Struthio camelus: one gene and its partners. The protein of the gene in region 1 interacts with the protein of each later gene in a pairwise test. Links are inferred from orthologs where the notes say so. Each region holds a gene or a part of one and is shown in the gene's direction. Other genes may lie near its edges. The genes, in order: TRIM54, TBC1D22B, CWF19L2 and RABGEF1.

Region 1 (7,225 bases):
CACAGCGCGCCTGCCCCCGCGCAGGCCCTGGGTCTGTGCTGTGGTATCATCACCTGCTGTTGCTGCTGCTGCTGCTGCTGCTTCTGCTGCGGGAGGTGCCGACCACCTGAGGAGGACGAGTCCTACAAGTATGTCAACCCCGAAGACCTGGAGGCGCAGATCCGTGCGGAGGACAACAGTGAGTTAGGCAGTCTCTGTTCCCTTTTGTGTGCCCAGCTCCTGCGTCTGGGAGTGCCTGGCTTGCTCCTGCTGCACGGGGTTTCTGGGGGAGGTCTGGTCTTGTCTGGGGAGACCGGGCTCTTGTTAAACAGTAGGGTCTGACTTAGCATCATCTGCTGCTCAAGGGCTGACGCTTGGTGTTTCCAGCTTGGGTCTTGGCTGGTGGCAGCTGGTAGAGGGAACTCTTGCGCAGGGTTCATGGAGAATATCTTGTGCTTCCTTGATTTCCCTTGGGAAAGGTCTCCCTGAAGGCACAGCTCTGGGATCTAGAAATCCTTGGGGAAGGAGCGTGGGGAGAGCAGCCGTGCTCTAGGCTGGTCCCATTCCCAGTGCTGGTAGGCAGTGGCTGTGCTGGTATCTACAATCTGAAATACTCTGGGATTTGGAGTGATCCTGGTCATCTCTGCAGGCTTCCCTGGGGTAGGGGGCACTGCTGGAGTGGCTGCGCGCTGGCTGGAGGTGTGGGCCCTTGTCAGATGGGGCTGGAGAGCTGTGGTTCGTGGGAGGCTGAATGAGGGTGCTGGGATGTCACAAGCAGCTGTTTCCTGGCACCGCAGCATGGGATTTAGCCGCTGACCTGCAGGTCTTCTTTTCCAGATGTGCAGACACCTATTGTGGCCCAGCCCCCACCTGCTGGAGCAGAGCCGTCGCCGGGTGTCAGCACCAAGACGGACGCATGAGGCTGGCCTCAGCCCCGCCAACAGCCCCAGGACTCTGGGCAGGGATCCCCCTTTGGGACTGTCCCTCTCCAGGACCCCTGTCGTGCCACCCAGGGTGGCTGTCCAGCCTCACTGTGGCTAGAATCTCAGGTTAAATTAGCCAGCATCAGTGCAGAGGCTCTTGTGCCCCTGTTCGAGCTCCACAGAGATACCCTGCATCCCCGCACTGGCAACAGAGGTGGCCTGGAGCCCCTTGCTGCTGTGCCCCATCCGCAGTGCCTCTTCTGCTGCTGTGTCCCAGCCCAGCCCTGGGCGCTAGCTCTCAGGTGAGGCCCCGCTGAAGGCAGACTGGATCCACTGTGACTGGACTAAGACTGGAGAGGCCGGGACTGGCTCCCTGCTGGGACCAGCCCGGTGCGTGGCCTGGCCGCTCACCAGCAGCACCGGGCGCCCCGGCCCGTGTGCGCCTCGGCCCCTTGCTGCCCTGCTGGCTCTGGCTTGACTGGGGGCCGCTGCTTGCGGCTGTGGCGGCAGCCCGTTGCCAGAGCCGGTTGCTTTCCTTGGGGCCCAGCAGCGCGCGGAGGCCGCCTGGCCCAGGCTCCGCAGCCTGCAGGAAGCGGCCGAGGGTATTAGAGACCATTAGCACTGTAATCCCTGGGGCTGGGCTGAGCCCGCTACCTGCCCACGTGGGGACCCTCCTTACGGGTGCTGGGTGCCAAACGCCGCTCGCGGGGCTGGGGTGCGGCCTTCTGTACCTCCTTGCTCTGTGCCCCCGTGGTCGCGGGGCGCCGGCTGCACCCCCTTCTGCCTGTTGCTGGCAGGCTCCCTGCAGGGCTGGGCCCAGGCACAGGCACTTTCCTTGGGTTTGTATAGGTTTTATGGGCACCATTAAAGGATGATGGGAGGGGAACATGTTTCTGTGTGGTCTCTACCCCGGCAAGAGCCGCCTGAACGCTCTCAGGCGGTGGGACGTGCCCTTCCCTGGCTCTGCCCTGCTCTGGCTGAGAGCCGTGGCCGTACCATAGGGGTGGCGGGCCGAGGAAGGGTCGGTGGGTCGCAGCCCGAGTGCTGCCAGAGGGGACAGTTGGCGACAGGAGTGAAAGTTGTTCTGCCTCCTGTCAGCTTCCGGGGAGAGCTCCGCGCCCTCCCGAGGGTGCTGCCCAGCAGGGCTCCAGGCCTTTCCCGGGCCCTGCGGCTGGGCTGGGCAGGGCAGTCCCAGGGCAGCCGGAGCCAGGCTGGGGCACCCTGGTCCTGCTGGGCTAACGGGGGCGCTGGGAGCTCCAGCACCCACCGGTGCGCGAAGGGACTTGTCCTTCCTCCTGCTGCCGACACGCTGTGCCGCGGCCGCCCTCTTCCCCCTCCTGCCCGGGGCGGGAGGCAGACTGTGGCCCTACAGCCCTGTGCGGCCTGGATCTGTCCCCGTGCCGCTGGATGAGGCGCTGGGGTGCCAGGCTGGCGCGCCGGGGCTGAGGCAGCGCCCGCAGCGGTGCGGCGTGCCCCTGCGCAAGGGCCAGGCCTGCTCTGCGCCTGCCAGAAACAGCTCGGCCCCCCCGGCTCCGCTTCCACCGCTGGCAGCGCGTGTGCCAGCTGATGGCTCCGCGTGCGTGTCCCGGATGGTCCCTGCCCTGTGCCAGGCTGGGAGAAGGGGCGAGCGGGCTGCCCTGGCCCTTGTCTCCCAGCCTGCAGCTGTGCGCGCTGCCTCACCCACTAAATATAGCCGGAGTGTCAGGGCAAGCGGTGCGGGACGGGGGTGTCCCTGGCACCAGTGTTGGCGGGCGTTTTTCCATGTCGGTGCTTGGGGGGGGCTGGCTCTGGCCAGGGCTCACGGGACCCGAGCCTGCTCCCAGCTCCGTTATCTCCCGGGAAGGGCATGTACCCTCCCCGAGTTGGGCAAGAACCTGGCCGCCAGGCAGCTTTGTTCCTCCTGGGCCTGGCGGGCGGCTGAGCTCTGCTGACCCTGTGCCAGCCTGGCTGGAGCCTCCTCCCCACCCTGCTGCCTCGGCCCGGGCAGGGGCCCCGGCCCCGGCCCCGTCTTTGTTCCTGTGGGGGGGGGCTGCAGGGGAGCCCTGCTGCCCTGAGGGTCCCCAGGGAGCAGCTGGCCTGTCCCAGGGGAGCAGTGCAGGCAGCACAGGGGGGGTCTGCCCCACCGCGCGCTCGAGGCCGGCTGCGAGGGGGGAGGCAGCCCTGGGTCCTGGGATTGGGAGCGGGGATGGCACCTGGGAATGGCGCCCGGCATGGTCCCCTGCTGTGCTGCGTGGGCTGGGGAAGGGACTGGCAGGGGGTGGTGGTGTCCTTGCCTTCAGGCCAGGGGCTGCCGCTGGCCCCGTGGGGCTGTGCCCCCGCAGCTGGCCGGGATCCGGAGCAGAGGCAGAGACAGGGCTGGGGGGCCGGGATGGGGTGGTCCTGGGGGGGACGGAGTGCGGGGCCAGGGGGACCGGGATGGCATGGTCCCGGGGGTGATGGGGTGCGGGGCTGGGGGGGCCGGGATGGGGTGGTCCCGGGGGGGACGGAGTGCGGGGCCAGGGGGACCGGGATGGGGTGGTCCCGGGGGGACGGGGCATGGGGCTGAGGGGGGCCAGGGGGACCTGCCGAGGGCCGGCCACGGAGGGCAGCCGGGGCAGGGGAGCGGGGCCGGGCGCGTAGCCCCGGGGGGCGTTGCGGCCCCCTCCGGGCGCCGTGACTCAGTGTCACCCGACGCCGCTGACAGCTGCCGCGGCCCCGCGCAGGCCCCGGGCGGCTAAAATTAGCGCGGGCGCAGCGGGGCGAGCGTGGGGCAGCGGGGCCGGAGTGAGAGCGGGGCCGGCAGCGGGGCGAGCGTGGGGCAGCGGGGCCGGAGCGAGAGCGGGGCCGGCAGCGGGGCGAGCGTGGGACAGCGGAACCGGAGCGGAGCCGGGAGCAGAGCCGGAGCCGGGAGCGGGGCCGGAGCGGAACCGGAGCGGGGCCGGGAGCAGAGCCGGAGCCGGGAGCGGGGCCGGAGCGGAACCGGAGCGGAGCCGGGAGCAGAGCCGGAGCCGGGAGCGGGGCCGGAGCGGGGCCGGGAGCGGAGCCGGGAGCGGGGCCGGAGCGGGGCCGGAGCGGGGCCGGAGCGGAACCGGAGCGGGGCCGGGAGCGGAGCCGGGAGCGGGGCCGGAGCGGGGCCGGAGCGGGGCCGGAGCGGAACCGGAGCGGGGCAGGAGCGGGGCCGGAGCGGAGCCGGGAGCAGAGCCGGAGCCGGGAGCGGGGCCGGAGCGGAACCGGAGCGGGGCCGGGAGCGGAGCCGGGAGCGGGGCCGGAGCGGGGCCGGAGCGGAACCGGAGCGGAACCGGAGCGGGGCCGGAGCGGAGCCGGGAGCGGGGCCGGAGCGGAACCGGAGCGGAGCCGGAGAGGAGCCGGGAGCGGGCCGGGCCGGGCCGGGCCGAGGAGGGCACCGCGGCGATGAACTTCGCGGTGGGGCTGAAGCCGCTGCTGGCGGAGGCGCGGAGCATGGAGAGCCTGGAGAAGCAGCTCATCTGCCCCATCTGCCTGGAGATGTTCACCAAGCCCGTGGTCATCCTGCCCTGCCAGCACAACCTCTGCCGCAAGTGCGCCAACGACGTCTTCCAGGTGCGGGGCGGCCGGGAAGGGGGCCGGAGCCGACCGCGACCCACCGGCGGGGTTGGGGGGCAGTGAGACCCCGACCCACCGGCAGGGGGGGGCAGTGAGACCCCGACCCCCCGGCGGGAGGTGGGGGACAGTGTGACCCTGACCGGCTGGGAAGGGGGCCGGAGCAGACCCCGACCCCCCGGCGGGGTTGGGGGGCAGTGAGACCCCGACCCACCGGCGGGAGGTGGGGGGCAGTGTGACCCTGACCGGCTGGGAAGGGGGCCGGAGCAGACCCCGACCCCCCGGCGGGGTTGGGGGGCAGTGAGACCCCGACCCACTGGCGGGAGGTGGGGGGCAGTGTGACCCTGACCGGCTGGGAAGGGGGCCGGAGCAGACCCCGACCCCCCGGCGGGGTTGGGGGGCAGTGAGACCCCGACCCACCGGCGGGAGGTGGGGGGCAGTGTGACCCTGACCGGCTGGGAAGGGGGCCGGAGCAGACCCCGACCCCCCGGCGGGGTTGGGGGGCAGTGAGACCCCGACCCCCCGGCGGGAGGTGGGGGGCAGTGTGACCCTGACCGGCTGGGAAGGGGGCCGGAGCAGACCCCGACCCCCCGGCGGGGTTGGGGGGCAGTGAGACCCCGACCCACTGGCGGGAGGTGGGGGGCAGTGTGACCCTGACCGGCCGGGAAGGGGGCCGGAGCAGACCCCGACCCCCCGGCGGGGTTGGGGGGCAGTGAGACCCCGACCCACTGGCGGGAGGTGGGGGGCAGTGTGACCCTGACCGGCCGGGAAGGGGGCCGGAGCAGACCCCGACCCCCCGGCGGGGTTGGGGGGCAGTGAGACCCCGACCCACTGGCGGGAGGTGGGGGGCAGTGTGACCCTGACCGGCCGGGAAGGGGGCCGGAGCAGACCCCGACCCCCCGGCGGGGTTGGGGGGCAGTGAGACCCCGACCCCCCGGCGGGAGGTGGGGGGCAGTGTGACCCTGACCGGCTGGGAAGGGGGCCGGAGCAGACCCCGACCCCCCGGCGGGGTTGGGGGGCAGTGAGACCCCGACCCCCCGGCGGGAGGTGGGGGGCAGTGTGACCCTGACCGGCCGGGAAGGGGGCCGGAGCAGACCCCGACCCCCCGGCGGGGTTGGGGGGCAGTGAGACCCCGACCCACTGGCGGGAGGTGGGGGGCAGTGTGACCCTGACCGGCTGGGAAGGGGGCCGGAGCAGACCCCGACCCACCGGCGGAGGTGGGGGTTAGCAAGACCCCGACCCACCGGCGGGAGGTGGGGGGCAGTGAGACCCCGACCACCGGCGGGGGGGGCAGTGAGACCCTGACCGGCCGGGAAGGGGGCCGGAGCAGACCCCGACCCCCCGGCGGGGTTGGGGGGCAGTGTGACCCTGACCGGCCGGGAAGGGGGCCGGAGCCCGTGTCGGCCGGCGGCGGCGGGGCGCAGGGCTGCCCGCTCCCCCCGCTCCAGCTCCCGTCCCGGGGCGGCCGGGGGAGAGGGGCTGCCGGTGCCCCGGGGGGGGGGTCCCGTGTGCCTCGGGGGGCCTGTGACCCCCCCCGTCCCCCCTCCCCAGGCGTCCAACCCGCTGTGGCAGTCGCGGGGCTCCAGCGCGGTGCCGTCGGGGGGCCGGTTCCGGTGCCCGTCGTGCCGCCACGAGGTGGTGCTGGACCGGCACGGGGTGTACGGGCTGCAGCGCAACCTGCTCGTGGAGAACATCATCGACATCTACAAGCAGGAGTCGGCCAGGTGCGGCCGGCCCCGGGGAGCCCACGGGGGAGCCCACGGGGGTGACCGAGCCCCGTGGATCTAAGGGTGCCCACGGGGGAGCCTGGGGTGGCACCGGAGGAGCCCACGGGGGGAGCCCACGGGGGTGACCGAGCCCCGTGGATCTAAGGGAGCCCACGGGGGAGCCCACGGGGGAGCCCACGGGGGAGCCCACTGGGGCAGCCGGGGGTGGCACCGGGGGAGCCCACGGGGGGAGCCCACGGGGGTGACCGAGCCCCGTGGATCTTAGGGTGCCCACGGGGGAGCCTGGGATGCCACCAGGGGAGCCCACGGGGGGAGCCCACGGGGGTAACCGAGCCCCGTGGATCTAAGGGAGCCCACGGGGGAGCCTGGGGTGGCACCGGGGGAGCCCATGGGGGGAGCCCACGGGGGTGACCGAGCCCCGTGGATCTGAGGGCGCCCACGGGGGGGAGCCAGGGGTGGCACCTGGGGAGCTCACAGGGGGAGCCCACTGGGGGATCCTGGGGTAACCGAGCCCTGTGGATCTAAGGGTGCCCACGGGGGAGCCTGGGGTGGCACCGGGGGAGCCCATGGGGGGAGCCCACGGGGGTAACCGAGCCCCGTGGATCTAAGGGTGCCCACGGGGGAGCCTGGGGTGGCACCGGGGAAGCCCACGGGGGGAGCCCAGGGTGACCGAGCCCTGTGGATCTAAGGGTGCCCACGGGGGAGCCTGGGGTGGCACCAGGGGAGCCCACGGGGGGAGCCCACGGGGGTGACCGAGCCCCGTGAATCTAAGGGTGCCCACGGGGGAGCCTGGGGTGGCACCGGGGAAGCCCACGGGGGGAGCCCAGGGTGACCGAGCCCTGTGGATCTAAGGGAGCCCACGGGGGAGCCTGGGGTGGCACCGGGGGAGCCCACGGGGGGAGCCCACGGGGGTGACCGAGCCCCGTGGATCTAAGGGTGCCCACGGGGGAGCCAGGGGTGGCACCGGGGAAGCCCACGGGGGGAGCCCAGGGTGACCGAGCCCTGTGGATCTAAGGGAGCCCACGGGGGAGCCTGGGG
Region 2 (7,456 bases), on another chromosome or scaffold:
AGACCGTGGGGAGAAGGGGCTGGAGGAGAGGAAAAGGCCCTTTTAGCCACCCCCACCCCCCCATGCACAAGCACATACGTGGGTTGGGGGGGGGTTACACTTAAATATTAATGTCAACAAGCTAAAACATGAGGGGCCGTGCGGTATGGCACTGTTGGGAAGCAGGTGAAGGGAGGGACCCCGGGCCGGACGGTTCGGTTCCTCCTCCCTGCGACTCGCCAGCGAGGACTCGCTGTCCTTTGGGGCCATCAGCCACCATAAGAGAGGACAAGAGGTTGGTCCTGTCCTATAGTCCCCCTCCACGGTCCTCCCGGGAGCCAGATGGGACAAAACCTTGGGACTTATCCAGCAGGGAGCGATTCTGAGCCAGCGCTGCTCTCCCATCTCCCTTGCATGACTCTCTATGGCTCCCCGGTTTCGGCCAGGATCTTGGAGTACCTGCAACGTGGAAAGCAAAAACAAAAAGATGAAACAGGACCAGGATGAGATTTCAGGCCATTCGGCCTCCCGTTCCGGGAGCGCCGAGAACTTGCCAAGGGCCAGCACTCATCACGCCTCTGCCTTCCTTGAGCAACGGATGGGACTACCGGCTACAGCTGTAAACATCTGTCCCCAGCTGAAGGCGCTCGGCCGTTTGGAAAGGACTGGCCGGGGGGGGGGGCCTGGAGTCACCCCGGGAGGCAGAGCAAAAGGGATGTGTATTTTGCACATTATTTTTCCGGGGACCGGAGACTAACAACAGCCAAAGGCCTGACACGGCTGAAAAAACGCACGCGAGCACCGGGCAGAAAAGCTACCCGGGGAGCGGGCCAGGCTCGTCGCAGGGACCGCCTAACTGGTTCACCTCCGGCAGGGCAGGCGACTCCGAGGGAGCTTGCCCCGCGTCCCGTCACGAGGAAAACATCCAGCTGCCCCCGAGGCGGCAGCCGAAACCCCGCGGCCAGGGCCCTTCTCGGCACGGTGAGTCACACCAGCTATTTTAAACGCCGGCCTTAGGAGGAGATGAATTATCAGCAAACCAGGTGTCCCACGGCTTCGGCTCCCTGGTCACGAAGCCTCGTGGAAGTCGGTCTCCGAGCGCTTTCCGGACGTCCTATGTGGCAACAGCGTCATCTCCGCAGGGCACGTGGGGAAACTGAGGCACGGCGCCCTGACCCGCTGGAGATCTTCGGCGGCTGAGCTTCAGAGCGGGGCTGCCCTATCGCTGCCGCAGGTGAAGCGATAGCCATGGGGAAGCGCCAACAGCCAGTGAAAGCGAGCGCTTCCCGGCTTTCTTTACGGGCGCCCGGGCTCTCCGCACACGCGGCGCCCAGGGGAGCGCGGCCGGCCAGGTCGCGGCAAAGGATGCAGAAGCCGAGCATCCCTCCGCAGGCTCAGGAAAAAAAAACAGTTTGCCGGTAACAGCAAATTTGGGCTCGGGCTTAGCCCCCGCCGTGCACGTTAGGTCTGAGTTAGGGGTGTCCCGGGGGCCAGCATCTGGTGTCCCGTCCCAGGCCGCCGCCGAAAACCCCGTGCTGTGCCAGGTGCCGGTTTCGGGCAGCTGGAGCCCTGCTCGTGACCCGAGTCTCGTGTTTCGGCTCGGTGAAGCCACGCGGGGTTGACACTGACCTTCCTGAGAGCGGGGTCTGACCTAGCCCGGCCTCTGTTACACCCCGAAAGGGCATCACTCGTCCCTAGCGTTGGTGGGGTTTTGCCTGAGGAAAAAAACACTTTGTTCGGGTTAAAAAAAAAAAAAAAAGAAAAAGAAAAAAACCTTTCCACTGCGTAAAGTTGAGTCAAAATTAGCAAAAGGGCGGATCAAAGCGATTCTTTCACCTTCTCCCAGGCTTTTTGTGCCCTTCCTCCAGGGTAATATTTTGATGTCCTTAACCACTGTGTTTTTTTTCCGGTTAGGAGGGGGTTAAGCGACCTGAAAAATGAAACAAAAGCTCTTGTTTCAAACCGAAGCAGCCATTTCAGTTACCCTGAAAGGACAGGCGGGCGGGCGGGCGGGAGCGCGGGTGCCTTCGAAAGGGGAGAGCGGGTTGCGGGGAAGGCGATCCGGCCCCGCCGCCGCCGCCGCCAAGCCTGTGAGAAAAACAGCAGCAGCGAAACGTCATTTCAGGTCAAGCCGCGCCGAGAAACGGGGCCGGGCGGCGGCGGGGCGAGCGGGAGGCTTCGCGGCCCTCCCAGCCCTCTCGGCGAGGCCAGGACCCCCCCCGCGGCCTCCTGAGCCGCCGGTACCTACTCCCACCCCCCCGGCGGAAACCGCCCCCGCGCTCCCCACCGCGCTGCGCCCGTGCCCCGCGACAGCGGTAGTCTCCGTGCGGGGCTGCTGCTGGTAGCAGCTTGCTCCGTGTGTCCCCCCCCACCCCGCCGGCGCACGTGCGCGCCCATGGGTGCGCGAGCGCTTCGGTCCGTGTAGGTGCCCCCCCCCCCCCAAACCATGTGGGTTTGGGTCGGTTTGGCCCCGGTTGGTGACTGCAGTCGCCAGCTGAGACCGGACGGCAATCAACACGCTCGGCTGGGGATGCTGAGGATTTGAGCTCGGTCCTTGGCATCCCTCCCCACCACCCCGTCCGCTGGGTGGGTTTTCTCTCCTGCTCGGCTTTTTTTTTGGGGGGGGGGGAACAGAGCAGGGACCAGGAGCCACCTTCCCCTGCCGGGGCGGAGGGGGACGCTCTCTTGTTCCCCTAGCAGGGTGTCTGCAAGCAAAGTCTTTGATAAAGGCAGTAAACGAAGCAGGAGAAGATGATCTGTGAATCGCAGCGGAAAAGCGGGAGGTACGACTCCTCCACCAAGCAGCTCTGCCTCCGGCCGGCGGCAGCCACGCGCATCCCCCCCCCAGCCGAGACGGAGGGGAGCGCCGACAACCGGGGGACGAGGGGCCGCTGAAAGGGCCCTAGGACAGACGGACAGACTCTCTGGCCGGCTCCGACCCCCTCCACGGGCCGGTTTCCCTTTCTCCGCGCGCAAGACACCCAGCTGCCCACCGCCAGCAGCGGGGCTCGCAGGTGCTCGGGCCGAGGAGCCGTGCCGTGTCTGAGCCCCGGCGGCCCTGTCCCGCCTCAGGGCCCAAACTCCTTGCGGAAACGTTGGGAGCGAGACCTCCCTCGCAGGATGAAGTGATTTGCGGGCCGACGTTTTTAACCATGCGCAAAGCCTGGGGACGAAGGAGCGACTCTTGCACCCTGGATGCCCTCACGTGCGGACCGGGTCCCTTCGGGGAACTTTGCTCGCCCAAGGCACCAAGCTCCTGACCAGCAGGGCTGTGATCTCCCCGCGCCTGGGAGCCTTGAAACGCACTGGGGTTTTGTTTTTTTTTGTTTTTTTTTTTGCTAGCGATGAGTTTCCCTTCTCCGCTAGAGCCTCGGCCTGGGAAAGGGAAGCGATTCTTCTCTCTCTGGGCTTTCGTTCTAGCCTGGAACCGAAAGCTACAGGCTCGCTTCCCCCAGAAACCTCTGCCCGCGCCTCAAGAGCGGCCGGCGGAGAGGGGAAGAGCCATGGCGGGTTACGGCTAGGCACCCGGCTGCCAGGCCAGGCCGGGCGGCGCAGCCAGCCACGGGCCTGTGCCGCCCTCTGCCGTCAGCCGCCCACCGGCCGGAATAAGGCGGAAAAATAAATTAAATAAATAAAGCAGAAATGTGCTGTGAAACACGCTGTGTTTTTCCTAGTTTATCCCCCCCCCCCCCCCGCTCCACCCCGTGTCTATTGGGCGGGTGGCATTTGGAGGCGCCTCACGCCTTGCCCCATGATGGCGCTTCCCCCCCCCACCCTGCTTGTCCTTATGAGGGGACAACCCTGACAGCAGGTTCCTGTGGCACGACCGAGGGGCTGGAAATGGCCCCAAATGGCCTCAAATCCTTGAGGGTGCCATAAAAACCGTCGTGCCAGGCCAGCCGCCCCGAGGCGGGACAGGGATTCTGTCACGGCCCAGCCCTGACAGGCGCCCTCCCCCCCCCCCGCCGTGCGCATGGTACAGCCCCCCCCGCGCCCCGTAGATGGTTTAACCCGCTCCCTCCCCCGGCCGGCCGTTTACCCGCCTCTCCTCTCTGCCACCCCCCCGCCTTCTCCCGATGGTTTCGCCCACTCCCCCCCCCCCCCACGCAAGAGGCTTGACGAGTCTGCCCCCTCTCCTCCCACCCCGCAGTGGAAATGGTCTGTCCCCTTCCCCAGCGCGACGTTTAACTCTATCCGCCCGCCCTCCCGTCTCCCGCGCGGATGGCTTCTCCCTGTTTCCCAGCCCAGGGAGGCAGCTCCGCCTCATAGCCGATTTTGGGTCCCCTCTATTCCCCTCAGTGGGAATGGTTCGCTCCATCCTCCCCCCCACCCGGGGCGGAGATGGTTTATCCCCTCCTGCCCCGCATATGGTCTCTCCCGCCTCTTGCAGCCCCGTCCCAACTCCTGCTCGCCCCGCCCCTTCCCGCTGGCGATTGGCCGAGCCGCAACGCCTTGAGCGAAGCGGCCAATGGCGGCCCTTCCCATGCCCGGATCCAAGATGGCGCCGCCGGGAGCTGCGGGAGGGTGGCGGTGAGGCGGCCTGCGGGGGGCCGCCGCGTTCCTCCGCGCTCCGCCGCTCCCGCCGCGGGGCCGGCCGGCCGGTGGGCTAGCTGGCTGGCTCGCTGGCTGGCCGGCCGGCCGGGGCCCGCCCCTCCGCCATGGCAGCCGAGAGCGGCCGGCAGTTCTGGAAGCGGAGCGCCAAGCTGCCGGGCAGGTGAGTGCGGGGGGCCGGGCCGGGCCGGGGCGGCGGGTGGCAGCGGCCCCTTCCCCACAGGCCCGGGGGGGGGGCGGCGAGGCCGTGTCCTCCCGGCTGGGGGGCCGGGGCAGCGCATGGCCGAGAGGAGGGGCGGGGGGGCAGGAGTCATGTCCCCCCCCCCCCCGGCTATGACTTCGTCTTGAGGGGCAGCGTAGCCCCCTGCTTGGGGGGGGGGCGGGACAACCCCTCGGCTGTGGGGCGGGGGGGGGGGGCTGCGATGGTAGGGGGTGTCAGGGCATCCCTTCCGGCTATGGAATGGGAGAAGTGGGGCTGAGGGACCCGGAGTAGCCCCCCTGCCCTGGGGAAGGGGTGCCCATGGCAGCCCCCCCGGCTATGGGGCAGGGAGGGGGCGGCCTGAGGGGCCCCCCTGTAATGGGAGAGGGTGCTGGGAACAGCCCTCCTGGCAATGGGGGTGAGTTGGGCTGGGGAGGCCCCCCAATAGAAAGGGGGTGTCAGGATTGTCCTTTCATCTGTGGGGCAGGAGAGTTTGTGTGGGGGCTGTGGGGAGCCCCACCTGCACCCCTGCCCCATGGAAAGCATTGCGGAGGGTGTCAGGGCCTTGTAAGGCTCCTCCTGTAGCCGGGCTGCCTCTGGGGCAGCCCTGGAGCCAGGGCTGAAACATGCTCATCTCCACAGATGTTGAAGAAGCCTTCTCCTTTTCCGAAGCCCTTAGCGGTGTCTCCTTGGGCAGCAGCTCCCCTGTCCCAAACAGGTGCCCCTACCGAAACAGGTGCCCCCCTCCTTATCCTCTGCTACGTGGGGTGTCACTCCTGGTCCACCTCTTCCTGATACCCTGCTGTTTTTGACAGTCCCTCCACTGTTTGGGCCTGTGGGGCATCCCTGTGTGCACCTCCCCTGCTTGGTTTCCTCCGGGTGTGGTGTCCTGTTTCCTGTTGAGGCATCTGTGTTCACCTGCGGGTGGGAGAGGGGAATGAGTAAAATGTCTTGCTCAAGCAGAGCAAGAGGAAGGGGCTGGTGGCGATGAAGGAGATGCTTCCTACATGGCCTTGAGAGCAAGGTTCCTGTATGGAGGCAGTGTCCAGGGAGGGTGGGGAGAGGGCACCCACCTCTCTGAGGAGGTTTTCACAAGTTACGTTTTAGTTCGATACTCCTCAGTCTTTCTACTATATTCGTGCTCCTGTTTGCCTTATCTGAACCCTGCTGCCCCCTCCTGATGTGCACTCTGAAATGCTTAGCTGGCTTTAAATCCTGCTAGGCCAGTTAATTCTCTTTCTAATGTGCTTTCACTCTTAGTCTTTGCTGCTGCTCCAGCTCCCTCAGGTTTGTGGGACAGTCCAGATCTGTGTCAAGCAAAGGGCGAGCAGTAAGCATAGCATGTTCTTCTTTTCTTCATGGGGGAAGAAAATGCAGTGCCATCCATGGGTGTTTTCTTCTCCCTGTTGGTGACCACCTTTGTCAGGAGGTCCCAGCTGTGCTTCCAGCTGGTGGTCTCTACGACAGCATCTCTCTTCCACGGCTGATGACTTTGGGCTTCAGCTTGGAAAGCCCAGACTAGATGAACCGGTTTGGGAGGCAGTCAGTCGTGCCTAGACAATGAGCTTCAGCGTCAAGTATTTGGCAGAGTTCTTCCCTCCTCCTAACAGGCTAATTTGCAAGTATCCGTCTGTCGCCTGGTGTCAGGCAGGCTGGTTGCCACCTTTAAATATCCTGTGTACCTGTCCTTCCCAGGGGCAGTTACTTACAGGGATCTTGGAGACCTCATTCCTAATGGACAACGCAACTGCAAAGGGTGGAAGTCGGACGTGCTGTGTCCATGGTCACTAGATGTGATGCTCCCTTTCCAATTTTTGGTCTGGACTTTGAGAGATCTTCCCATGCAGATTCTTGACTCTTTCCATTCTTTGCCCTGACAAGCTCACAGAGGAGGGCTTTGTAAAGATTTGGAGACAGTGTTAGGTTCCTTTTCTGTGATATTTTGTGAATTTGGTTGCTTAGTTTTATTAGCTTTTACTTGGTGCTTTTTCTTTGGAGACGTAGTGTTGTGGCACTACTAGTAAATGCTGTTTCATGTTGCCAGTAACGTCTTGTGTTCTCACAGTGGGAATTCTCACTCCAGTAAGTTTTTAGGAGTGCTTTGTCAGGTTGGTTTAGCATGTTATCCTGTGGGGTGCATTCTGATTATTTCCTGCTTTTCAGAGAAATGGGCGGCAAGACACCAGGGAGTTTTATTTAATTGCTGTTTTAAAAGGGGAGATGCAGGCTCCACTGGGAATAAAATATGTTCTGTCTCTGGAATGGCACCGAGGTTTCATGGATATGCTTTCTGCTGCAGTGTCACTAACCCAAACACTGTTATGATCTGCTCATGAGAAGTGTAAAGCAGATAGCACAGCGGAGACTGGGAGGCTGTTGTACGGGGCACTGAAGGTACAGGTAATGAGAAATGCCTTGTCCCAAAGAGCATGAACTAAAATAGAAGAGTGCAATGGACTGACTTGTCCAGCCAGTTCAGTGGCACAGATCTGAGGACATGGTTTAGGACTCAACTCCTGACCCAGTGGTGTGTGTGCTGAAATGTAGTGCCTGCATTGAGCTTTCCGTCCATGCAACAGTCGGATGAAGACAGCTAGAGACAAAGTTCATCTGGGGATGCTCCATTCATCTAGCAGAGCTGAGGTGCTAGATGGGAGGTGGGGGGGGGGGGAACAGACACGAGTGAGTAAATAAATGTTTACTGAGCATCACTTGGGGGTATCACTC
Region 3 (7,903 bases), on another chromosome or scaffold:
TAATATAAGCTTACTTGGTGTTGCCAGTGTGTTTCCAAAAGCAGGGCCCTCGAGGGTGATTTGTGTTTGAAAATGGGGTGAGTGGCAAGATAAACTGAATAGTGTTACCCTCTGCAAAGGATTTGCTGTCAAGAACTGTGACAAAGACTGTGGCTTGGGAGGTCAGGCACATTACTCAGACAGTAGTTACAGCTGTTTCTGGGTCAAGGGCTGAGACAAGGATTGGGTATGAAATTGCCCTTCCCTCTTAACACAATGCTGTAAAATAAAGAAAAATGAAAAGCAATTCCAGGAACTGTTCGGTGAAATTGGAGAGGAGCAAATTGCCTGAGCTGCTGCCAAGAGAGACAATTATGGACATTCTCTGTGGCAGACAAATTCTCTTTACAATTATCATTACAGTGCTGTAGTGCCTTGGAGCCCTTCCCATGGAGTAAGACCTCACTGGTCTCAAAAATTTTTTTCAGTGAGCATTCTCCATTTCATTAGAGAAAGCATTTCCTGCTGTACTCCCATCCCCACAGGTTTTTTGAATCTCTATTGCAATGAAGGATAGATCGTCCTATGATACTTTCACACCTTGAGCCTTGCTCGGGGCACAGCAGCGGCTTTCTTCAGTGTGTGTTTCCTATTCTGATAAAATCTTTTGTTTTCGACTCACAAAAAGAAAAAAAAGCATGCAAAAGCCCCACAAGAAACGTGCTGAACAAATGATCGTTTCGCATGTGTAACGGTACCATTTGCACTTCCTCACAAAACATTTATTAGTCAGTAGTTGTCACTAGAGAATTTCCCAAAGAACATCTCTTGCTATTACCGTCATGCACCTGGGGTGGGGAGAGACAAAATGGATGTATTTCTAAACCTCTTCCCCCTGCTCTTTCTGACCATAGTTGGAGAGAGAACTTGTTTTCAAAGTAGCTGAGCAAATTAACAAAATAGCAGTTGCTTGGGAGCAGACAACTCATGTTTTGCTATTGAATATTGAACAATGGGTGAAATCATTCTTCGATCCCTTACACTCCCCTCATTCATCTTCCCTGTAAAGTGGGTCTCTTTTCCAAGGCAGGCTGTCAGTATCATCAATGTCACAGCGGCTCTTTTGTTGCTGCTGGGACCGCTCTTTTTGATGGACAGTAGAAATTTGTCTGGTTTTTCAATTCAGGCCCTCATTGCACAATTCAGGCAAGAGAAACCAATCACCTGGATGTTGCTACTGCATTGATTTTTGGGCAAGGCATTCTGTCATTTTGTGGCACAGTTGCTTTCAATCTCTGCTGAGGAAACTTAGTAACATTTCTATAAAAGAAAAATACTTCCTTCCATAAAAAAATTTCCATTTGTCCATACTTTTTTCATTCTTTGTTCTTTTCCATAATTTCTCAAGGGACTGCGTTTTCTGTTTCTTAACTGAGCCATTGAAAATGTCCATCCCAGTCTAAGTGATCCCTCAGAACCTAATATAAATGACTACGCAGTAGAAACGGCAAGTGAAAACTGGGTGGTTTGAAAAATGAACAGAATGAGAACTGACTGAAAGTCAGTCCATCCTGACTTATGTGAACCTGCCCTCCATCCGCTCCCCAGCATCCTGTTAGATATTGTGCTTCAGAATGGTGTTAAAATCCAGATAAGAACCTCCCCCTAGCAGTAAGCTGGATTTATCCATTACCTTGCAGCTTCACCGCTGCGGCAAAAAAAGTTTCGTGCTCTCAAAGAACTCCTTTCCCGAGTGAAACACTGCCCTTTGCTTAAAGGAAACTGTGCAGAATCGCACTGAGTGGAGAGGATTTTTTCCAGCCTTTTTCATATAAAAATAAAACGTCAAATGGAGCCCTAAAGGCAAGCAGTGAAAGTTAGCAGCATGGAGGTTTATAACACAGGTCCGCTGGAGAATCGCTAGCTTGACCGTGCAGCTTATTTGAGGGAAAGTGTAAAATGTGTTGTTACATGGGAAATAGTAATTCACTCTGCAAGGTCAGTGCCTCTCTGTGGGGGTTCAGGAAAGAGCAGTAACTCTGGAACATTATTGTTCTATTAGTATGTTTAATTTTGGCAGTGTGAATAAGATGACTGAGCAGAGGTGTCCTGCTGACCATTACAAGCTGTATACCAAAGACTTGTTCTCTAGGTTCACTGCAGATTTCTGAGCATGTGAGCAAGTCTCAGAAATACTAATATGTTAAAATAAATGAGACTGAAGTTTCATTTTACTCTGCTTCCTCTGAGAAAACCCTTTTCTTGGATGAGGAGAGGAAATGAGGTAAAATTGTCATCCCTTTCCTAACTGTTGACCCCATACATTAAAGTCATCTCTCAAAAATCACAAGATGGCAGAATGATTCTATTTTAAAAATAGCTTTTGAATTTTAATTGCTTTTCAATTTTTGCCCTTCTAGAGTGCATTTGTATCATTGTTTCTCCTCTAAAATCATGAATATTGGAAACTTGAATTGAAATGAAAATTTACAGTATTACCTTATTACATGATGCAGAGGGTTATGAATATCAAGAATAATACTGAATATTGCAAAAGCTTACACACTGTTTCAAGCTCTCTTCTTTGTCTGTAACTTGAGGTTGTGGAAAACACATTTCCTGTTCTGACTGCAGCTGCTGGTAGAAGAAGCTATTGTCCACAGCAGTTGCAAACCACACTCGTGTCATAGTTACTGGCCTTTCTCTTCTCATGCAGTTCTTCCAAACACTTCTTAAATTGTTTCAGTCAGAACTGGTTGGTTTGGCTCACGGACTAACAATTTGCTCTTTAGCTTAAATATAAGCCCATGAAGCCAATATACCTGACTGCGCATGAAGAGGGTTAGGGAGTACGCACCTGAACTGCTGGCTGCCTGGAGGAAGTGGTAAAATCTGGGAGGGAAAAGACCCAGTGTATCAGTAAAGAGCATACATCACGATGAGCACAGGCTTTCCTTTCTGGGCAAGACCTGCGCTGTTCTTGCTTCTCCTCTCTCAGCCACAGTTGAGAGTCTTTTGCTGTATAAAGCTAAGGAATGAGCACAGCGTTTGTCAAAGCTGCTGGAATGTCCCTTGTATCCGCCCACTTACTTTGTTAATTGCTTCCTAAAGGGGGCTGATGTGCTACTTTTTCATGCAATGGCTATTAAGCTCTATCAGTTATGATTCTCTGCCTAGTGGTGATCTACGACAGGTTTTTCTTCAGAAGATGCTGCTAATTGTCATAGCATAAAGTGAACAAAGATGCAAATATGATTTACACATTGAATACCATCATGGAGATGATTATTCAGTCAGCGTTACCACTTTTAAAACATACTATCCAATGCAAATAGCTAATGAATTACCCCAACATTTTGCTCAGACTTTAACCCAAATAATGTTACTATTATTTGGCAACTGTGATTACGTTTGGTGGCAGACACACAGTAATGATTTGATCTTGTCCCAGAGAAATTGTGTGTCAGTTAAATACTTGCTTCACCTGAGATTTAGCAGCCCCTGTCATATACTATTGGCCAACTGCAACTTGTATGTACTTGAACACATTTTTTAAAGTTGCGCTTCTCCTGTCCAGACAGGTATTGAGCATTGGCAACCTGCCAGCTATAGAAGCCATATGTTAGCCATATGGAAGCCCCAAACTGGCTGCAAATGGAAGAGAAAGTGGCTGGAAGATAGTTCTGAAGACGGATCGTAGCAACGGGGAGCATCAGGCGCTATGTGGAGTCTGGGGGAGTCTGTTGAGCCACATCTTTCCCTTGCACAGTTCTCCTTAATCTGGGCTCCAGATGAGAAGTCCGAGGCTCAGGTAGAGTCCTTTTGGGCAGCAGCAGCACCTAAGGCTGGAATTCGGCCTTCCCATACCAATACTCTGTATTCATGGCCCTGTGAGTCAAGCGCCCACTAAGCTGTGTGTGCCATGACATGACATATTTGCTGTGACATTGACCTGGCAGGCTGTGGAACGTCTCCTAGAAGTTGGTGTGTGTGTGTGTGTGTGTGTGTGTGTGTGTGTGTGTGTGTGTGTGTGTGTGTGTACGTCTGTAGGTTTGAGTATGAGGTCTGGAGCAGGGCTGCGGGCCTCGGGCACTCACATGTCCCGGCACCAGCAACTGGGGACAGCGGGGATCCTGGGGGCAGCTCCTGGAAAGGCTGAGTGTCTACGGGCAGCTGCTGGAGGGATCCACATCGTATGTTTATGTATATATATGAGCTTTCCACTAATAGGCTTTCATTCTGATGAGCTGGTGAGTGGAACAGCATGAGGCCATCAGCGCTGCTTGTTTGCGCGAGTGCTGTTGTCCGTCGGCGTTCACCTCTGTGGCCACGTTCATATACGTTCATATATTGTATATATTCATATATATGCACGTGCTGTATGCACGCTAATTGGGAATAGGTGCTCAGCCCAGGCTGCACCTGGGCACAGGGGGGTGCGGCAGCCCCTCTCTCTCTCGGGCTGCCGGATGTGGCAGCTCCGAACGGAACTGCCCTTTTCTCGCAGGGGGAAAATGGCGGTTTGCCCTAGCAGCAGGGCAGCACCGAGACAGCCGCAGGCCCTTACACAGCCCTAACCCTGCCCTACGGAAACCTTTCGCGCGGTGCCAGCAACGCGCCTGGCCCGCGGGCGGGCTGCCCGCTTCCTGCGGCGCTTTCGCTTAGAAACCCTTTTTTTATTCTTTTTTTTTTTCCCGGATCATCCGTGCTGCCACGCCCCTCGCCCCGCCCCCGCCGCAGCGCCCCGCCCCAGTTCCACTGCCCCTCGCCCCGCCCCCGCCGCAGCGCCCCGCCCCAGTTCCACTGCCCCATCGCCCCGCCCCCGCCTCAGCGCCCCGCCCCTCGCCCCGGAATCCCCGCCCCTCTCCCCGCCCCAACCCCAGTGCACCGCCCCTCGCCCGCGCAGCTCCCAGCCGTTGTTTACGACAGCGCCGTGCGTGCGGTGAAGCTGCCCGGCGGCTGCTTTACGGCCGGGCCATGGCGTCGGAGCTGGAGGGCGAGGCGCGGGTGGCGGCGCGCAAGGAGCAGAGGCGGCGGGAACGGGAGGCGCTGCTGGCACAGGTGGGACCCCCGGCCTCTCCCCCCTTGCCGGGCAGAGCCTCTCCTCCCTCCGGGCAGCTGTGCCGTGGCGTACCCGCGGCGAGGGGAGGCCTCGGCCGGCGGCCTCCTTCTGCCCGGCCCCGAGGGCGGCCCTGCCCGCGTCCGGGCCCGGTCACGGCGGCCGGGGGCTCCGGGGGGAGAGCTCGAGCCCCTTCTCCCCTAGGGAGAGCCTTGTGCTGTCTGGCCAAAAAGGGGGGCTGGACCGCATCACCGGCAGTGACGAAAAGCTTTTCATTGGCAGCGGCCTCAGTTTATGTGTTTTGCCATTTACAGTGGTATTGATCCGTTCGGTATTTCACTTATCGTGTATGCCAATTCTTACATTTAAAGGCAATGTTTATAAGAAAATTAGGCAAGTCAGTGAACAGCAGCAACTTTGCCAGAACACTTTCATTTCCTCTTTGAAATCAAAGAAGTTCATGAGTATAAGAATAGTAAAGGAGCGTTTTGCATGACGTCTGGAGCCTATGGAAAGCTCTGTGTAAAAAGTTAACTTGGAATACCTTGGGTAACAGATTGCACTGAATATCCCTGTTCCTCTCGATGGCTTTCTTAATAAATAATGTTGAAATGCAGCTCTTCAGAGAAAACTCTATTGCTTGGTGCCATGATGCATTGAACTGCCCTGTCCTTCTCATTTTATAGAAAGTCCCGTTCACATCCCACTTTTACAAGATCAGATTGCGCTGTATAATGTTTATTTTAAGATTTGTTGAAACCAAGTAGTTGCTGTTCTTAATCATGCTTAGGAATACTTGAGAGCTAGCCAGAAAACAGAGCTTGTTGTACTTGGCACTATACAAATACAAGGTAGTATAACTTCAGAGAGTTTATATAGACAGAATAGCCACCAAGTGAAGCAACAGATATAACACCAGCTTGATGACTTCCTAGGGAAATGTATGTGCTTATAATTTATTTTTTCTTCAGAAGGTAATATAATGGGTAGGTAACAACTTGGACAGAAATGGGAGAGCCTGTTTTCGTGGAGCCAAGATATTAACTGATTGGTTACATCTTGCTGTAGCGTGAGCCAAGAGTTGGAAGTCTCCCTCTCATAGATGTTTTTGTCAAGTTGCTGCTACTATGAGAGCTATGTTAGATTTTATTTGAAGCCTGCTCATATGCTATCTTTGATACTTGTGCTGTAAGCTGCTGATTCTTGGTATGCATGTAGAGTGCATCCAAGTAGAGTGAATGATAAAGTAGTAAATGTCATGTTTGTTCCGTTGCATGATTTATTTTGAAGTTTAAGGACTAGGAGATAACTACATAGAAAGAAAAGTGAAGAAAAGAGTAAGAGGAGAACTGTTAAGGAAAAAGTCTAAAGTTGTGGTGACGGACTTTCAAGAGAAGGAAGACTAAAGTAAGCAGCAAACAAATCTTACTGGACAATACTGTTTTCAGAAAAAAAAGGAATTGGAAAGTGGCCTGAATATCCCAAGCGGCCTACAGGGTAGCGATGTTCTTCCTCAAGGTAAAGTCAGAGAGAAGACTAGAAGTAATATGTTGTGTGGGTATCTCCCTTGCACAGTTAGGGATCTAGGAGCGTTCTAGTGGAATATAGTAGGCGATAGGATTTCCCTTAAGTAACTTATTTGTTGAGTGGGATGTAATTACACTGATTCTGTGCTGTAGGAAGGGTGCATTACAACCTTGAATCTTTTCCGCCTTTTGACAAGCAGTTAAAGGAAATTCCTTTGACTTGGTAATAGTAAATAGTACCATCCTGTGAAAGTTTTACTTTTCATTTTGTTTTGCATTTTTCGCTACATTTAAGTTGTTACTAGGACTCCTGCTTTGCTCAGTTCAACCTCTTGGGTCTTCAGAAAATACTTTTAACTGGGAATGTTATGTAGGCTGCCATTTTCCTATCTCACATTTTCTTCCCACTTGCTGCTGCTTGTACTGCAAGCTCTCTGGGACAATTTTAAAAACCTTTTACTCATTTTACCTCTCATTTTAAAAACCTTTTACTACTACAGTAGCAGTAGTTTATTAAATAACCATATTCCTTCTTTTTATTTCCTTCAACATACGTCAGCAGTTTAATATGAAATAAAGTTCTTCTGTGAAGATGTTTGCAAATTTTTGGTGTAATTTCCCTTCCCGAATACCTGTGGGTGATTTCACTTCTTTTGTTCGTATCTGTAAAATACTGTTAATTTTGACTCATAGATACAAAAACATCACAAAAGTGTTTAATGTTATAGTAACGGGATTGTGATATTAATTATGCTGCAATCTCTGAAAAAGCTCATTTGCAGGTAGCTTTAACCTGTCATCATGCCCGTTTAAGTTCAGGGAGACACAGTAAAGCTCAGGAATTGGTTTTGGTTGCAGTAGTGTTGGAGAAATGCTACAGCAATGAAATAAAGCAGCTGTCATAGAGGAAAAGGTTGAAGTGGCTGATGTGAACGCTTAGTCGTCCAGAGCATGTGAAGTAAGAGGTGGTGAAGGTGGTTTTGCCAGGGTTTGAGTTGGTACTAGAAAGCACAATATCTTGAGCGCACTGGCTACAGTTCCACTGTTAGGATGTCTCGAAGTCCTTGATGATACTGTAGCCTTGTAGGTCCTAACTGTCTGTTCCACCCATTCTTATAGGTTTGGATGCTGTTCTTCAGCTTTGTTGAAGACTATTAGAAAAAACATGTTCTGAGGTTTTAGGATGAAACTAAATCTAAATCCTTGCCATCAGAAAAAGAAGGACAAAGCGGAAAACAGACAAACCAAAAACCTAACCTCTTCTTGACAGCACTCCCTGAAGTTTTATGTAGGAAAAAATTGCAAATGGGAAATTGTTTTTTTTTGTTTGTTTGCATAT
Region 4 (7,526 bases), on another chromosome or scaffold:
TTGCTGTTTCCGATCACGTTTGCAATTTCTTAACATTCATGCACTGATATTTTATAACTTTTTCCTGTTTATTACTTAAAAACCAAAACAAGTAAGGAAGAATATCTAATCCAAAAGATGAAAATTAAAATCTTGGCCTGTATCAGTTGCATCTTAATTGAAACTTTCATTCTTCAGATTCTCCAGAAGACAGGAAACATTAAGTGCAATATTAAAAAAGAAAACACAGATGTGAGCCAACAGGCTTTCATTAAACACATACAGTCTGTGTCTTGTGATTTGTGCAAGTTAACAATATTGTTATTGACTACACTTGTTTTAAGCAGTCTTTGTTTACAGTGATTTAGATGATATTGCCTAATATGTATTCGTTTTTTGACAGAAACAGAAGAGTTGTGCAGGAGGATGTCAGGGGAATATAATAACTGGTTTATGTAACATTATTGACTTATCTTTTCTTGGCATATAGCATAATTTTTGAAATTCTTCGTTTGCAACGAAAATGTGAGTAGCTGATTACTAAATCCATGTTTAAGATGATTGATGTTTTTGTATATCATGAATGCTATATGATTGTCTAATTAAACTAAATGCTTATGTAATACTGCTTTTTTTTTTCTTTACTTTGGTATGTTTCTTCATGTCTACTTAGGCCAGAGACTTGCTAGAACATTCCTACCTATTTCTCTATGCTGCTCTTATTTGATTTTTCCACAACTTTAATATCTACATAACTGCTTTTCCACCACCACCCCTAAATCCTGTGCGAGCTGATACCATGCTCTTGGACAAATTGGTCATGCAGTAAATGGTTTCATGTCATCAGTATAATTTTGATATGACTGTTGTGTACAGATTATCGAAAAGACAATACATGTCAGTCCATTTAGCTTATTCAACTTGAAGGAGAGATACTTCTCAGTTAGCTTTCTGGGACAGGATGCATGCCATTTTTGGTTCCTAAATGATGTACAGAAACATGCATATAATAAGCAACTCCCCCCCCCCCGATTCCCCCCAAATAAAAATTCTCAAATATTTTCAAAGCACAAATTGCATATCTGGATTGCAGTGATTTCTCTGCGTTTTTTTTTTTTTTTTTGAATAACGGGGTAATGGTGGGACAGTTGAGGGGTAATTATTTGAAAAGTAGAACCGTTGGCTGTTTTTAGGTTGCTGCATGTCTAAACAGTTAACAAGACTCGTCTTGTAATGTCCCCTGTGTATGTAGTGGTTTTTAACATGGAGCGAAAAGAGATCCTTTTATCAGCTCTGACATTAAGTGACTTGGCCAGTTTCACTGCACATTAAGCATGTTTTTGCATTGGTTTGGCATTTGTAAAATGAGGATACCTACTCATTTTTGTAAAGCACTCAAGAAATGACATGAGAAGATCTTTATGTGCAGTGCTGTGTGTTCAACGTGTATGTAATGTGTCCACTTAATGACTGTTGATTTCAAGAGTTACAAGAAAGGGCAACATTAGCTTTTCAACTTGGTGTGAGCTTCTTAACTTGAATACCACAATACTCTATACAGTGATCTGAGGTACTCGTTCCTGACTCTGCATTCTTGGAGGAGAGTGAAGGTGCTAGCGTCGTTTATCTGACAAGCCTTTGAGCCATTAGGAGATTCGCTCTTGTCTTCCTGGCGCATGTTTTCTTTTGAGGCTGCTCGATGTTTTTTGCAAGCCCGTTTTAACCCAAACCTGCAATCAGTGATCGGTCTCTGCACTGGTGAGGGGGCTTTTTTTTTTTTTTTTAATTTAGTAATGTATTGACACCTACAATATAGCGTATACGAATACATGAATTTGCTGGTATGGATATTTTTGTGATTTTGTTGTTGTTGTCCCGTTCTGTTACCCCTCCCGACCCCCTTCCCCCAAACTACCATGAGAGTTAAGGGAAAGTTCAGCATCAGGTGTCTGAAAAAGCCTCCTTGTTCTTTAGACACCCCCCCAACCCCGTCTGGTAAAAACACTTATCCCAGAGGTGTTCAATATATGGAAAGGCAAAGGCTATTACAGTTATAGGCGCTCTTACTTAACAATGAGTCCATTGAACGAGTTCGTACTCGATAATCCAACTGCAGCCTCCGTTCCGGCGCTCTGCTTAGATGAGTGTCACTTCAGCAGCGAAACGAAGTAGTCACGGGGTTGGATGTGGTTAGTACAAGTCCTTGAAAGGAAAAGTCAGAGACTTCTAGTTACAGGAGAAATGCACTGATTTGTGTAAGCACGTAATCGGCCTTTACTAAAGGGATTGTTAAAATTCCAGTAAACGCTGAAAGATGTCAAGATTTGCAACTGTTTTAAGTGTTTGCTATGTTAAACAGTAATACGTTCTGAGCCGAGTTGTTTCAATGCATGTATTGCACATCAGGGAAGCTGGCCAGTTCTCTTATTTATGTTTCCCGGTATATCTGTGTTTTTCTTGGTGAATCTTGAAGGCCGCTGAGGCTGCTGATCGCTGCCCCGCAGAAGTGAGTGTTTCAAGCGTATCCTGCGCATTAAGCGTGCGCCGTTTATTGCAAAAATGAAAGTGAGAGGGATTTAGTTCTGCAGTGTGTTTTCCCCAGGGATACTCCTCATCGGCCCCGAAGGAGGACTTCAGTGAGATCCTGCTCCACACCCCCCCCCATTTCCACTTTTCTGATGAAGTGTAAGTGGCAGAAGGAGATCAAGTGTCCGGCCTGAAGATTCGCAGTGAGATAATGACTCTTGAGTGGATTTCCTCTTGGTCCCTGCCCTTTGCTCTAACCCTTAAGAAGCATGGCTCTAAGGGCAGGAAGTTTACTACTACTGTCTGCTGCACCCTCAAATTTGTTTGCAAGGTGAACTGCCAGTCCGTTTTAACCTAAAGGGATTCTCTTTAGTATTACAAGCTAGTGACTGATAGTTGCTAAAGAATCAGTGAAATTCTCAGGACTGACAAAAATATCTGAATAAATTAATAAAAAAATGTATTTCATAATCCCATTAATTTCACTCTTCCATTTCATTTTTTACTAAAGAGTTAAAAAATTAAAACCTTAAGACTTCTTTTTGTTAAACAGAGATACATATTTAGGCTAGGCGCTTGTATTTTACGATTTTGAGGGTCTTGTTGATTGCTTGCTTAAGAGCTGGAGGATAACTGCATGAACTGCCTTCTGTGGTTCTCTCTTTTTTTGTTTTGTGTTTAAAGTTATCAGTATAGTAAATGGTCGTGATTTCCTAAGTCCATGGGGCATTACTGAATTAGCAACCGCTGGGAACCTTCCTGCCCAATTTTATTTTCACTGCTCGTTCTTGTTTATAGATGACCCGGGACGGGTGACCTGATGGGAAAGATGACAGAAGTGCCAACAGGGCAAGTCTCATATCAGAGCTGATCGTTTGTATGGTACAGTGGTTTTTTGGTTTGTTTGTTTTATTTCAACTCTGGTGAGGTGTGAGGCAGAGGAACGTTCATCACCGCTTATCTGTGAGGTCAGTCAGAGGATCCAGTCTTTCTGGAAGCTGGACAGCCCAGCTGTCCTGGCCTGTGTTCATCCATTTCCCCACCTAAGTATTGTGATGTATCAAGTTAGGTGGCCTTGGATTGAACTGGGAAATACAGCAATGACTGGGGAGGTGGCTGCTGGGTCATCCTACTTGAATTTCAGCAGCAGTTGTTCAGAGGTTTGAGGACCTTTATGCCACCACTTGCAGAGTGGATGTTTCTTTTCTGCATGGCAATAGTAATTAAAGCTTGGGACACAGTTGCCCGGCAGACCAGACTGCCGAGCAAAGAATGTAGAAAGATCATTTCTGAACTCATCATAACCTGTGGGGCATGCTCTTTCTTTCATCATCCTCGTTTTAGGAGCTGTGGGCGGTCTGTAGACCCCGGTGGCTTTAAGTATTGATTGGCCTTACTGAGCCTTGGAGTTGCATTGATCTTTTTGGTTATTTATGGCTGCCCCATTGCATGTGTTTTAGGTTGTTCATGCACAGCAGAGGGGACCTAGGATAGTTCCGAGTTCTAGGCTATGGGAACATCATTTGATTTTAAAAAAATAAACCGTCCGGTTTTTCATTCTCTTTCTGCAAATAAGCTATGTTTCAGAGGATAATTACATTTTGTTATTTATTTCTGTGTATAGGTATCTTTACTGGAAGTTGCTTTCCAGAACAATTCTTAATCCTTTTACTTACACAAGTTTAGTATAAGTTTACCTATACTTTCACTGTGACTTTTATAAATGGATTTTATTTTGCTGAATTATAAATTGTATGTCTCTATGCATTGTTAGCCCTTAATGCCTTTGAAAATCCAGTCTGGATGCTAAGGATTGGAATTATCTCCAAATGTGTTTTATTTTAAATAAGTTGTTGTGTGATGTTTAATACTGTAGGTACGGTAGCATTTTATTTACTACATTTAGCTCTTCAGTTCAGGTAAAGTATATAATGATGTATTTTTATTTAAAATATATAGATGATGTGTATATAAAGTTTGTGTTGTGAAATAAAAGTATGTTAAACAGAAAACTGTTGGAATCTGGCTAATCTGGTTCACAAGTATTACACTCACTCCCCCTTTTCATTTTCCATGTGAACAGAGTTTGACTTGCATGACTGGAAATGAAATTTGAGACACCAGACTCTCTCGAGCTTTTCTCTAATAGCACCAACCAGTAACTTGTTCATCATCACTTCCTTAACAGATGGCACTTATGCAGCGTCTGCAGTCTCCTCAGGGAGACAAACTTGTATCAGACAGATAATTCGAGTTGTACTTCCTTCCCTACATACCCACCCATTCATGTGAGAGCGCGCCGAGGTCTGAGCAGCTTTCTCCACTTGTGTAATGCTACAGAAAAAAGTAAGATACCGCATTTGCTGAGCTGACTGGGTTCAATGGGGAGTTTTTTTTTTCAGAAGTAACTAAAATACCATTTTCTTGCTATTCTTTTGTCTTACTAAAGTAACACTTGCTTTCAAAACCATGTGCCCATGGAGGGGAAGGAGGGGCGGGGAAGACGACAGCGAAACGGCTAAACAGCAGTCACGGTAACTATTTCTGTTCCTGCTGCCATCAGCATACATAAAACTCCTAAGCATTCGTGTGAGCTGTCTGATCTGGAAAATGCCTGTGTTGTGATTTAAAAACAAAGCTGTTGGGAGTTGGTTTACTGTGCCTAAAAGGAGAGCAGGGATGCCTGTGTTCAAATGTTGTTTCTGCTCCTTCCAAGACAGCGAAGAGGACCCCCAAAGACATGTAGGTTCTCCCAAAGAATGAGAGAGAATCTCCCTATTCTCTCCCATTCTTTGGGACAAACTGTTCGGAACAAACTGTTCCTATTTCCAGCTTGTATCTAACGCAGAGAGTGTGGAACAGCCCTGATGTTGTGGTCCCGAGACCACGTTTGAGTCAGGCGTGTGTGGTAGCTCTGTTCTTGTCTCCAGGCCAGGCCGCTCGGAATACAGCTAATGAAAATCATCCTTTCTCCCGAATCTGCAGACTTCTAGTCTAGCATTAATCCCTTCCTACGAGATTGCTGTTCCCTCAAGGGTCTCTCAGGTAACAAGGATTTCTTCAGTAGGCTCGGTGGGTTCTCGCAAAGGTTTTGCTTTGTCAACCTGTAACAGAAGCTGATTCAAGTAATTCAACCAGCTTCAGAGCGTAGTCTGTTCTGTTGTGAACGCGCCGTAAAAAAACCGCTGTGCTTGTACCCTGCCTAGCCGTAACCAGCGTCGAGCTGCCACAACCCAGCTGAGCTGATCTAGCAGTTTGCTGCGGCTGACCGGGGAACTTCTGCTGCTTCTCCAGCATCGGCTTTGACGCTTGTCTGGCTCCTCAGTGAGCTAGTTCAGTTTGTTACCCCGACAGAAAATTTAGCCCTGAAAACTGAATGAATTGCTCACAGTTGTTTCCAGCTTATTCCCTGGGTTGGGCAGGTCGCGCCGCACCGCTCGCAGCGCGCTCTCAGTCTGGGCACGACCCTTTCCGTAGGGACAGCTTTGACGAGCTTTTGGCAGCCTTTTCCAGCGTGGTCGAGCTCTGTGGTCAAGCATCAGTGTTTTTTACATGCCAGTGATTTTGAGTTTCCCTTTTCTCAGCTCTTGCAGCGCGTTTGGGGCGAAGGAGCCTTTCTTCGCAGGCGCAGCGTCTGAAGGCCTGCGGTGTTCTTTCCTCTTGGTGTTTTAACGGCCGTTGCAGGCTGCGCGGCCCGGCCACGCCTCGGCGCCTGGGTCACGGCGCCGCCAGAACCTCGGCCTTCCGGCTGGCCCTCGGCAGCTTTGTGGCGGCGGCCGGGAAGCAGCCGTTTGCCGGCCCTCGGCGTAAGCCCGCTGCGTTCGCGCGGCGCCTCGCAGCGCGGCGCTTGGGCCGCCGCCCTTTGCCCTCCGCTGGGGAGCGGGCGGCGAGCGCCCAAGCGCCAGCTTCCCCCCGCTGCCAGCAGCGCTAAAACGAAGGGAAAAGCCGTTCACTGGCGACGTTTTAACCAAGAACGGCATGACTGCAACCGCTGGCGCCTGCCCGGGCGCCGCCTTCGCGCCTCCCTGCGCCCGGCGGCGGCTGAGGCCCGGCGCGCTCAGCGCACCTTCCGCGGCCCCGCCCCGCCCCCCGGAAGGGAAGTGACGTAGGCGCCCTTCCGCCGAGAGGAGGAAGCGCCGGGAGGGCAGCGCCGCCGCCGCCGCCGCCGCGGGAGGAGCAGCGCGAGCGGGGCGGGAGGGCCGGGGCCGCCGCCGCCGGTGAGATGGGGCCGGGGCCGGGGCCGGGGCCGCCGCCCTCCCTCCCTCCCTCCCTCCTCGCCGCGGCCGAGAGCGTGGAGCCCTCTCGGCGTTGCCGGCGTCTCGGCCGCTGTCGCGGGCGCCGGCGGCTGTGGGAGCATCCGGCCCGGTGCTCGGGCCGCCGCCTCGAAGCAGGGGGCGGTTGTGTTTGCCGGGAGGGAGGGAGGGAGGGAGGGAACCGTCGGCAGGTTTCCGGCTGGCCGGGAGCGAGGACGGAGCTGGCCGGGTGTGGTTCGGCACCATCTTAAGTCCCCTGCGGTTGGGGCTGCCGCGGTCCCCGCGCTGGGGCCTGTGCGGCTGGATGGAGCGGGGCTGGGGCGGCGGGGCGGCAGCTCTGGCTCCAGCCCGGTGCTGCCGCCCTCTCTCACGCTGTTCTGGGTCAGTCGCAAAGTTAGGAAGTGACCTTCGAAGTGGTGCTTCGTATCGGCAGCGCCTTATATCAGTACTGGGCGGGGGGGTCTGTGCCGGCCGGTTCTTGGTGTTTGCGGTTACCTGAGAGCCCCTTCAGTCGATAAGGGACTTCAGAGACTAGCGATCTCTCCGCTTAAGAGGAACCAGCATCTTACAGGGACAGAGCTTGCCTCAGGAGTCGAATGCGCTGGCCTTCTGGGCAGGGTTACACAGGTGTTTTGCGGGGAGAGGATTAGGAAGAGGACGGTAGCTTGATGCAGTGTTTTCCTGGTGAAAATCAAAGTGGTGCGCAGTAGAAGAAAATATAGGAGTGTGAAGCCAAATGTACCAATTCAGAAGATCGCTTTACAAAAT

Evidence for each region.
Region 2: the proteins of TRIM54 (region 1) and TBC1D22B interact in binary tests that used the Homo sapiens proteins (3 or more experiments, as listed by UniProt). The link is inferred for Struthio camelus from reciprocal best matches to the Homo sapiens genes TRIM54 and TBC1D22B.
Region 3: the proteins of TRIM54 (region 1) and CWF19L2 interact in binary tests that used the Homo sapiens proteins (3 or more experiments, as listed by UniProt). The two-hybrid records come from large-scale screens. The link is inferred for Struthio camelus from reciprocal best matches to the Homo sapiens genes TRIM54 and CWF19L2.
Region 4: the proteins of TRIM54 (region 1) and RABGEF1 interact in binary tests that used the Homo sapiens proteins (3 or more experiments, as listed by UniProt). The two-hybrid records come from large-scale screens. The link is inferred for Struthio camelus from reciprocal best matches to the Homo sapiens genes TRIM54 and RABGEF1.

Annotation. Positions count from the first base shown.
Region 1 is NC_090944.1:1,036,563-1,043,787, reverse strand, and holds the start of TRIM54 (tripartite motif-containing protein 54), read left to right. Parts: upstream 1-4,210; 5' UTR 4,211-4,292; coding exon 4,293-4,460; intron 4,461-6,011; coding exon 6,012-6,184; intron 6,185-7,225. Other genes in the region: DNAJC5G (dnaJ homolog subfamily C member 5G), read left to right, coding at 25-178, 817-899. UniProt on the Homo sapiens protein: May bind and stabilize microtubules during myotubes formation.
Region 2 is NC_090965.1:4,874,866-4,882,321, forward strand, and holds the start of TBC1D22B (TBC1 domain family member 22B), read left to right. Parts: upstream 1-4,447; 5' UTR 4,448-4,637; coding exon 4,638-4,693; intron 4,694-7,456. UniProt on the Homo sapiens protein: May act as a GTPase-activating protein for Rab family protein(s).
Region 3 is NC_090942.1:205,989,154-205,997,056, forward strand, and holds the start of CWF19L2 (CWF19-like protein 2), read left to right. Parts: upstream 1-4,887; 5' UTR 4,888-4,956; coding exon 4,957-5,040; intron 5,041-7,903.
Region 4 is NC_090957.1:15,661,076-15,668,601, forward strand, and holds the start of RABGEF1 (rab5 GDP/GTP exchange factor), read left to right. Parts: upstream 1-4,512; 5' UTR 4,513-4,851; intron 4,852-4,954; 5' UTR 4,955-4,974; coding exon 4,975-5,039; intron 5,040-6,596; exon of another isoform or gene 6,597-6,722; intron 6,723-7,526. UniProt on the Homo sapiens protein: Rab effector protein acting as linker between gamma-adaptin, RAB4A or RAB5A. Involved in endocytic membrane fusion and membrane trafficking of recycling endosomes. Stimulates nucleotide exchange on RAB5A. Can act as a ubiquitin ligase.